2 linked regions of the Arabidopsis thaliana genome follow. The protein of the gene in region 1 interacts with the protein of each later gene in a biochemical or structural test. Each region holds a gene or a part of one and is shown on either strand. Other genes may lie near its edges. The genes, in order: AFB3 and IAA7.

Region 1 (5,317 bases):
AAAAACTGGACCACCAGGGAGTGACAATGAGAACTGAAAAAGGGTTCCTTTCCGAATCTCATATTGGGAGATACAAATACATACATACTTAAAATGTGTAATGTATGTCGACAGATCGATATGTGTATATGATGTTATTGATATGATATGGATGTGTGTGGTTGGTATTGTGTAACTACTGGTGTTTGTATGTGGGAGATTATTGAATAAGAGAGACATGCGTCATTATGAGTCTCTCTCTCTCTGCTTTTTGGGCCTTTGGATTCATAGGATAAAAGGAAAAAGAATCTCATGAACCAACCAAAAGCTGGAAAAAGAAAATAGAAGAAGATAAGAGTTCTAGAAGAAAATTACAAAAACTTTTACCGATGATAGAGACCAGATGATTATCATTTTCGATATTCTAAGCTTTGATACCCCTGAATATTTTATTTTCTTACTGTTAGGTTTCTCACTTTGTCTTAAAAGGTAACCCAAAATTTTTATTTGGAAAGGAGAGAAATGCTTGAATATGTATTTTTAAGTAAATAATCAAATCTTGGACTTACTTTACCAGATAATTTAACTAAGGTGAGAGATGGGGGTTGGTTGCACAGTAAAATCCAATAATTCAGGCATTATCCGAGTCAACTGAAACCAAGATAATGGTGAAATATTTGGGGCTATCGATGGTGAAAATGGAGATGATTACTAAAAGGTGGCATTCACATGGCAGCCATTGTAGCATATGATGGGTCAAGAGAGAGGTGAAATCATCACTATATAACTTTTTTGGATTAAAAAATAATTTACTTTTACCAAGACAAGTGTTGATTTTCCAGAGAGTATGAAGATACAACAAAGGACTTAAACTTGTTTCTACATACGAGTAGCAATTAGGGAAATGTTTAGAGGATTATGAAAGATTATTAGTTGATAGTATGTGATAGTAAGTACTTGACCAATAATTAGTGCCATTTATTTTCAAAACTACTAAATTAATGGTGTGCTAGAGAAATGACTCTAATCTTTCGAGTCTCAACGAGTAGTAACAATGATTTTGTTTGTGTACTCTTCGTTCTTCCCCTTTTCTCCATGTAATAATCTGCAAGTGGGTCTATTATTGAGTTTGATTATGCCACCTTTTTGCTCCTTTTATATTCTTTTTTTCTTAATGATTTTTTTTTGGTTTATTTATCTAGTAGATATATATAAAAAAAAACTAATATAAATATTATAAATTCTGAATTTAGGCAGTAAAACACAATTAAACGATGATTTTTAGAATTTGTCTTAAATATACAGTATATGACAAATCGAAACAAAATGTACTACTTAAAAATCTTTTTATTGTTTGAATAGTAAACTTGTTTGTTTTCAATAGAGTTACGAATTAATCGAGATGGAACCCTACCCATAACTACCTTCTTTTGAAAAAGATGGGAGTTTGATTAGCTTTTGGATTTGTTTGGTTATGAAAACATAAAAAAATAAAAAAAATCTCATCAACTTCTAATTCCGTAAAAGGTGTCATCGTCCCAACGACAAATTTGCTTCTCTTCTTTTCGTTTATTCCACAGTTAACTAAAATTACGAGTTTATTTGACTATAAATTAACGAAATAAGTGTCTAAAATGGGGATAACAAATTTTTGACAAAAAAAATAACATGATGTGGGAATAACAACATACGTATTTGATGCAGTACGATACGACAGTACGTTGGATATTATTTAGTTTCTTCTTATTGTACTTTTTAACGAATTAAAAATACCGTATTATATTAGATTAACCAATAAATATTAATACACATCAAATATCATTTTCACGAATACTTTTCACATTGTTGCACTTTCTAACAACCGTGAAAGATTGATTATACGTAATCAAAAACGATTAAAACCAATAATAAATTAATTCAGTATGGAACATATTATATTTTCCTATTGGCCATGAAAGCTTTTACATGGCAATTTAGTAATAACATAAAAAGACAAGGGCATTGTACATGTCCCTTGCTCTGACACTAATGCATCACTTCACCCTTTCTCTTTGGCGAAAGGTCTCGTAAACCAGTGGTGAGCAACACATGCCATAACCAATTAACCATACCACTCCTCAACGGTCAAGATTCCTTTTTATGCTATCCATTGAACCATTCTCCTCCGTTGGATCATCCAACACCCAACAAGCTTTAACTTAACCATGGTTAGTTTTTTGGTCAGCTAGGTTAAAGCTTCTCTCCTCTTGATTAAATTGTTCCATTACAGAGTTTCTGGTTTTTTTTGGCTTGCGTGATCTCTCTCTTCTCTTCTCTCTCTCACTCATCCAAATCTTTGATCATCTCATCATCATTGGACTTGAAGCTAACTCCAGAGTTTTATCCAGATTCATCATTTTCCAACGTTTTTCTTCAATCGAATCATCAGCGAGTTTGGTTCCGACGACGATCTTAGTAGCTTCATAAGCTCAAGGTCTCGAAACTCTTTCTAGATCTAGCTCATTTACTTTCTTGTAGATCTGAATCTTAATCTCTGTGTTTAGTTTATCGAGTTTCAGGATCTGTTGTTTCTAAATTAGTTTGTATAATTTGAATCTCGCTTTGTTGCAGATTCTTCAGGTTTCGGTGGATTTTCTTGAGCTCTTCTAAGCTTCTCCATTTTGTGAGCCTCCGATTTCGAACCTGGTAGTGTTGTGGATCTCACTGGACCACGAAGCTTTCTTCACTGAGCTAAGCTTGAAGTCAATTCCTCTGTTCGACAATCAATAGAGGAAGATGAATTATTTCCCAGACGAGGTTATAGAGCACGTGTTTGACTTCGTAGCTTCTCACAAAGACAGGAACTCGATATCTCTGGTCTGCAAATCATGGCACAAGATCGAGAGGTTTAGTAGGAAGGAAGTGTTCATCGGAAACTGCTACGCGATTAACCCGGAGAGGTTGATCAGGAGGTTTCCATGTCTCAAATCCTTAACTTTAAAAGGGAAGCCTCATTTTGCAGACTTCAACTTGGTTCCTCATGAATGGGGAGGTTTCGTGCATCCTTGGATTGAAGCTTTGGCTAGAAGCCGTGTGGGACTTGAGGAGCTGAGGTTGAAGCGGATGGTTGTAACAGATGAAAGCTTGGACCTTCTTTCACGTTCTTTTGCAAATTTCAAGTCTTTGGTTCTTGTTAGCTGTGAAGGGTTTACCACTGATGGCTTAGCTTCCATTGCCGCTAATTGCAGGTAAAGGCCTTTCTTTTACTGGCGTTTCTCTAGGTTTTATGTTGTTTTTAAAATGTGTTGTTGTCTTTCTTATTAGGCATCTTCGTGAGCTGGACTTGCAAGAGAATGAGATTGATGATCATAGAGGTCAATGGCTGAACTGTTTTCCAGATAGCTGCACTACTCTTATGTCGTTGAATTTCGCTTGCCTTAAAGGAGAGACCAATGTTGCTGCTTTAGAAAGGCTTGTTGCTAGGTCACCAAACCTGAAGAGCTTGAAGTTAAACCGTGCAGTACCGCTTGACGCACTCGCAAGGTTAATGAGTTGTGCGCCGCAGCTAGTGGACTTAGGAGTAGGGTCTTATGAGAATGAGCCAGATCCTGAATCTTTTGCAAAACTCATGACTGCCATTAAGAAATACACATCGTTAAGGAGCTTGTCTGGCTTTTTAGAGGTTGCTCCACTCTGCCTCCCAGCGTTCTACCCAATTTGCCAAAACCTTATCTCTTTGAACCTCAGCTATGCAGCTGAAATCCAAGGCAACCACCTCATTAAGCTTATTCAGCTTTGCAAGAGACTTCAACGATTATGGGTAAGTTTGTTCTCACTTTCTCTTTTCACTGTCCTGAAGAAAATAAACTAACTTGCTAACCTGACAACAAATGGTTTTTATGGTTCCTACAGATATTGGATAGTATTGGTGACAAAGGACTTGCGGTTGTCGCTGCCACATGTAAAGAGTTACAAGAGCTTAGAGTTTTTCCCTCTGATGTACATGGTGAAGAAGATAACAACGCATCTGTGACTGAGGTTGGACTAGTCGCCATTTCCGCAGGTTGCCCTAAACTTCATTCGATTCTGTACTTCTGCAAACAGATGACAAACGCAGCGCTCATAGCCGTGGCCAAAAACTGTCCAAACTTCATCCGGTTCAGGCTATGCATTCTCGAGCCACACAAACCTGACCACATTACATTTCAATCACTGGACGAGGGCTTTGGTGCAATCGTACAAGCTTGCAAGGGTCTAAGACGGCTCTCTGTCTCCGGTCTCTTAACCGATCAAGTCTTTCTCTACATCGGTATGTACGCGGAACAGCTCGAGATGCTTTCGATAGCTTTTGCGGGGGACACTGACAAAGGAATGCTCTATGTGTTGAATGGATGCAAAAAAATGAGGAAGCTGGAGATAAGGGACAGTCCTTTTGGGAACGCTGCGCTTCTTGCTGACGTGGGTAGGTACGAAACAATGCGATCCCTTTGGATGTCGTCTTGTGAAGTAACACTCGGTGGCTGCAAGAGGCTCGCGCAGAATTCGCCACGGCTTAACGTAGAGATCATCAACGAGAATGAGAATAATGGGATGGAACAGAATGAAGAAGATGAAAGAGAGAAGGTTGATAAACTTTACCTCTACCGAACAGTGGTTGGGACTAGAAAAGATGCACCACCATATGTTAGGATTCTTTAGTCTCTTTGCACCTTCATGTGTTTTCAAACTTTTCTTTGTACTAGTTTTTGCCTTTTATCAAACTTGGAACAAATACAAATGTCGCATTTTATTATCACCGTAATTCAGCCATTGAAAACATAAATTTAGGTAAAATACCAATCACGTTTTCCAAATAATACAAATTACAATGACATCCACAAGAAACCTACTTGTCTAATCCATGCTCTGGATGAGTGCACTCTCAAACAAAGAGGTAAACATTAACAGACATTGACACACGATAGTACACAAGACATAGAGTGTTATGGCATATGTCTTCGATTAGACACATAATGCTGACAGTAAACGACGAGATCCACAGAGACTGGCGGCATTCTCAGAAGCAGCATTCCTCCAACAAACAGCAACAGCAAAGAGCAGCAAGACTGCAATTCGCAACCCACAAAAAAAAGGATTCCGTAATCGCAATTTGTAAGCAACATGATTAGGCTACTTGAGGTCAATCACAAATCTCTTACTAAAAGAAAAGCTGCAGATGATATAACATTTTATCTACAAACTTTATACTAAATATTATGGGGTTAAGAATGTAAAATAAAAGCCATTAGGTAGTTCTTAAGAGAGTCACTAGATCCATTGAAAAGTAAAAGATCCTGTCCAACAGATAAACATAAAAATG
Region 2 (5,049 bases), on another chromosome or scaffold:
TTCACATTACAAAGAAGCATTAAGTTCATTTTTTATGTTGGGAAGAAGAAAATCGATGTCAGTCTTCACTCAGTGTCCTCACTAAGAACATGTACCTAGACCAATTAATAGATTCTCTGTTTATATACCACAAATGTCTATGCTTATTAATGAGTAGTACTATTCTTTTATTTTTAATTTTTTAGTAAGACACATTTAATAACCAAGATGATACAGAGAAAACGGGAGACCGTAAACAATTAAAATAATATACGTGACTTGTATAGTTGTATTGCTTGACACAAACTAATTAGAATGTTGACCAAATTTGGTTAACGGAATTTCACCGCCCAATTCCACTTGCTTTATATGCGATGAACAGTTGACCAGAGGAGACAAAGTGTAACAAATAGGCTATTAACAAAACATAGAAGTAATTAATACATTCATAGTTTATATATAGACATGTTGTGAGAACTTATTCTTTTCTTCTTTAACAAACAATCTGAATTCGTTTCATACTATATAAGTATTATATACTACCTAGTTATATGCTAGCTTTGTATTGACTCATAGAGTCATAGTACAAATGCTAAAATACTAAAGCTACACAGAGTGGTAGAACCAGCTGAAATATGTTTAAAACTACATGACCTAACCCAACCATTACAAATTTATAAACAAACTACATCCTGAAACTCCAGAATAGACGATGTAGCTCACTATGAACTATAATGTATGTTTAATGTCAGAACCAAATAAATTTAAAAAAAATGTCAGAACCGTACGAGAAGAACAAACAAAACTTTTTGTAGTTTGTTTGTATATATTTCTAAGTAAAAATGCTGAACACAATTATACAACCAATATATGTGATCTAATGTGCTATTTAGGAAAATTTGTCGATGATAAGTACTACGTCAGAGTCAAAAGACCCATATTGGTTTAGTCCGACTATTAGATACGAAAAGTCAAGCAAACATTACATGTAAATTTTGGTAAGATGTGAGAGATATATATGTCTTTTTTTTTATTTTTTGATAACAAAGATGATGCTAAAATACTTTTAGATCCAAACACCAATTATGAGATTCGGAAAAACTAATGTTAGAATTCGAACCATGATGGCCAATATTACATGAACTCAAGTGGCAAATTTTTTCACTCTTTTACTATTGGAGCAAGATGACTTGGTTATGTAAGAGATATGTTGCTCTCAATATTCTCATAGATCATCTCTTTCTTCAAATTGGTAAGATATGAGAAATATGTCCCATCTTTTTATTATCATACCAAAGTCTTTTATAAAATATATCATATATGTATATATATATATTGTCAAGAATAACTTGACTTCATACATACTATTTGAATTCGGATAGTATCACAAAACATCACTACCACGTAACTGTTGGAACTTCAATTTTACAAAGTATTTCCGGCTAACTTTTCGGCGAGTTTTTCAGTGAAGTTTGTCACAAAAATAAGAATGATCATATTTTTGGAATCTTTGTAATCGTTTTCAAAGTTTTCTCTCCGGATTTTCGCGGTTCTACAATAATTACATTACATATCATGATCAATATGTGACCTGATCCTCGTAGTTAATTAAAACATAATTTCCCGGTCACCATTCAAAACTTTCTAGATGGAAGATTAACAAAACAAAATTATCTTAGCTTAATTTTGTAGTAACAGAGAAGAAATGATTAACTAACATCTAATCAAGCCCACGTGTCATAAACCCCACCAATGAAGAAAAAAGAGCAAAAGACATGCACATGCAATTACACGAATACATACACCCCACCACCATCCTCCCTCCTTATATTATTATTGCCCCTTCCTCTCCTTTCTTCTTCCCCTCTTACCTTTTCAGAGAGAGAAACAATATTTCTAATCTATTACAAGTAACATGATCGGCCAACTTATGAACCTCAAGGCCACGGAGCTCTGTCTCGGCCTCCCCGGCGGCGCTGAAGCAGTTGAGAGTCCTGCCAAATCGGCGGTGGGAAGCAAGAGAGGCTTCTCCGAAACCGTTGATCTCATGCTCAATCTTCAATCTAACAAAGAAGGCTCCGTTGATCTCAAAAACGTTTCTGCTGTTCCCAAGGAGAAGACTACCCTTAAAGATCCTTCTAAGCCTCCTGCTAAGTAAGCTACACATTTACATATATATATATTCTTAGATTTTTTTTTTTTTTGGTTAAAAAGTTCTTAGTTTTTTCCAGTCCATATATATACATATATACGTGTTTATACACATCTATGTCTAAGTTCTTAGAATATTCGAATATATATAAATTTCATAGTTATATGTCCTCGCAGAACATAAATATTGTGAGGGATTTACATAAACATATGAATAAACTAAAAATTCTTGAAATTTGTAATGTTAGTTATATATATATATATATATATATATATATATATATATATACTTCCCATATACATTACCTTTTTTTGTTAAAATTTATATGCATAACTTTGATTCTTTGAAGTTATATTTGTTTTCTATCAATATAATACTAAGAAATAATATAATAATAATTAAAGCGTGGTTGAAACTTAAACACCAATACATACATGCGTACAAGCAAACATGAAATAATACATGTTATAACTTACAATCAAGCCCATAAAGGCAGTAATGGTAACTAATAATTACATTGGTTGATATACACCTATCTAAATAATGTTGTTCTATGTAGAGCACAAGTGGTGGGATGGCCACCTGTGAGGAACTACAGGAAGAACATGATGACTCAGCAGAAGACCAGTAGTGGTGCGGAGGAGGCCAGCAGTGAGAAGGCCGGGAACTTTGGTGGAGGAGCAGCCGGAGCCGGCTTGGTGAAGGTCTCCATGGACGGTGCTCCATATCTGAGGAAAGTTGACCTCAAGATGTACAAAAGCTACCAGGATCTTTCTGATGCATTGGCCAAAATGTTCAGCTCCTTTACTATGGGTACGTATTAGAAATTTCAAATCGGAAAGTGTGAAAAAACTATATTCGTATATTAAAGTATATCATTTACTACATTTATTCATACAAAACTCATGAACCTTACCGAGTTAGAGTCATAGAACTATACATTCGAACCCTATACATATTAACAAGATGAGATTTTGCTAAATGTATACAACTTAAATATGTATTATATATATTACACAATAATGACACATAAATTTATATGATTTTTGAATGTCTTGAATATCTTCAAGGAAACTATGGAGCACAAGGAATGATAGATTTCATGAACGAGAGCAAGCTAATGAATCTGCTGAATAGCTCTGAGTATGTGCCAAGCTACGAGGACAAAGATGGTGACTGGATGCTCGTTGGCGATGTCCCATGGGAGTGAGTCAAATTTAATCGTTTCATATACTTTTTTTTATAACTTATAACTTGACTCGTTAACCACATTTCCCGAAATTGGTAGAGACAAAGCCAAAGATATTCAACATCCATGTGTTATAAATACGTACAACCATGCATTGGTTGGCAAGAGACAAGAGGATCTTTCAAAAATTATACAATAGTATCGATATGTTTAGAGCTCATTCGTAGCTGGCACATCATCATATTATTGCCAAAAACCTTAGAATAAACTTTAAATGTTAACGACTCATATTCTAATGTTCTAACCGTAAACTTGAATACCTATTTCAGAATGTTTGTCGAGTCTTGCAAACGTTTGCGCATTATGAAGGGATCTGAAGCAGTTGGACTTGGTACATCTCTAACTTTTTTTTTTTTTTTTTGTTTTTCAATTTTTACCAATTTTCTTTTTATTTTAATATAATTCTGTTTTCTTGGTTATAGCTCCGAGAGCAATGGAGAAGTACTGCAAGAACAGATCTTGAATTAATAATAAAAAAAAAGAAGCATCAATGATCAACAATATGACGGGTTCTTGATTTTATATGTATTTTTATGATTGTATGTGGCTATCACCTATATATGTGTGTTGTAATTTTAAATACTTGATGGGTATATAGGGCAGTATTTTACCAGTAAGATGTGGACAAACTTGTAATGTGACCAAAAGAGAGGAAACTTCAATATCTCTGTGTTTGTGTCATATTTATTGCCCAACATGTGTCTGTCGGTTTGATGATCAATCACAACTTGATATGTGCATACATATAAATGTGTGTATGTAGGTGTGTGTACATGTACATGTGTTTTGATCCCTACTCTGCTACTTGTCGTTTCTTGTGTGTGTTATCTAATAGTTTTTTCCCAAAATGAATAATTCGTTGTTATGTTTACTATTTTACCAATAAAATCTTAGCTTTTTAATTCTACTCTCTAACCATTACTAGCGTTTTTTAGTTTTAAAAACTCTGATTATGTATTGACTTTTAGATGAAGTCTTTAATGAACAATTGAACATATCCTACAACCCACAAAAAAAATAAGAAGTAGAATTTAAAGTTGGTTTGTTGTCATTTCATCATAAATTGTGTATCCTAATTTTTTGGGACATGTGGTCCGTAATCTGTCATATTTTAAACTAACTGATGATTATATGTGTAGCGGCTTTACAAGATTAATTTAGTCATCATTTCAAAAATATGTTGAAATCAATATAATTTGTTTTCATTATTAAAAAAAAAGTGAGTAAGATACAGTTACAAAAGAGGATATAAAAGTTTTAATATTCGGATGTTTGTTACTCACTTACAATTTGTTACGACTTGCGAGTTATTGATGGTTCTTACTGGTGGATGGATGATGGATCATTAGATATATATATTGTATTCATATTATAGATTAATAATCTCATATAAATTATGTAAGTCGTTGATGCCTCCAAATAGTATAATTTGACCTCTTTTGCGCTCTAATTTTGTGGGAGGAATTTATCAAATTCAGGACCCATGAGAGGGGTAGGGAACAAGAGCATGTGCATGTTCATGGGTCTTTTAATTCATATGGCCATTATGTTATTGTAATTTGTACCCAATTTTCCCGATCACGAGAGGAAAATTTCATCCTATTTTATAATTTGTCTCAATGTTTGTGTCATATTCTAGTTAATCTATACTCGAATAATTATAGTATTC

Evidence for each region.
Region 2: the proteins of AFB3 (region 1) and IAA7 form a complex in vitro, tested with the Arabidopsis thaliana proteins (one study listed by BioGRID).

Annotation. Positions count from the first base shown.
Region 1 is NC_003070.9:4,368,218-4,373,534, reverse strand, and holds AFB3 (auxin signaling F-box 3), read left to right. Parts: upstream 1-2,236; 5' UTR 2,237-2,452; intron 2,453-2,589; 5' UTR 2,590-2,754; coding exon 2,755-3,206; intron 3,207-3,282; coding exon 3,283-3,778; intron 3,779-3,870; coding exon 3,871-4,656; 3' UTR 4,657-4,775; downstream 4,776-5,317. Other genes in the region: AT1G12810 (proline-rich family protein), read right to left, coding at 5,015-5,063.
Region 2 is NC_003074.8:8,192,874-8,197,922, forward strand, and holds IAA7 (indole-3-acetic acid 7), read left to right. Parts: upstream 1-1,732; 5' UTR 1,733-1,894; coding exon 1,895-2,133; intron 2,134-2,690; coding exon 2,691-2,944; coding exon of another isoform or gene 2,945-2,955; exon of another isoform or gene 2,956-3,201; coding exon 3,202-3,337; coding exon of another isoform or gene 3,338-3,341; exon of another isoform or gene 3,342-3,649; coding exon 3,650-3,711; intron 3,712-3,802; coding exon 3,803-3,843; 3' UTR 3,844-4,282; downstream 4,283-5,049.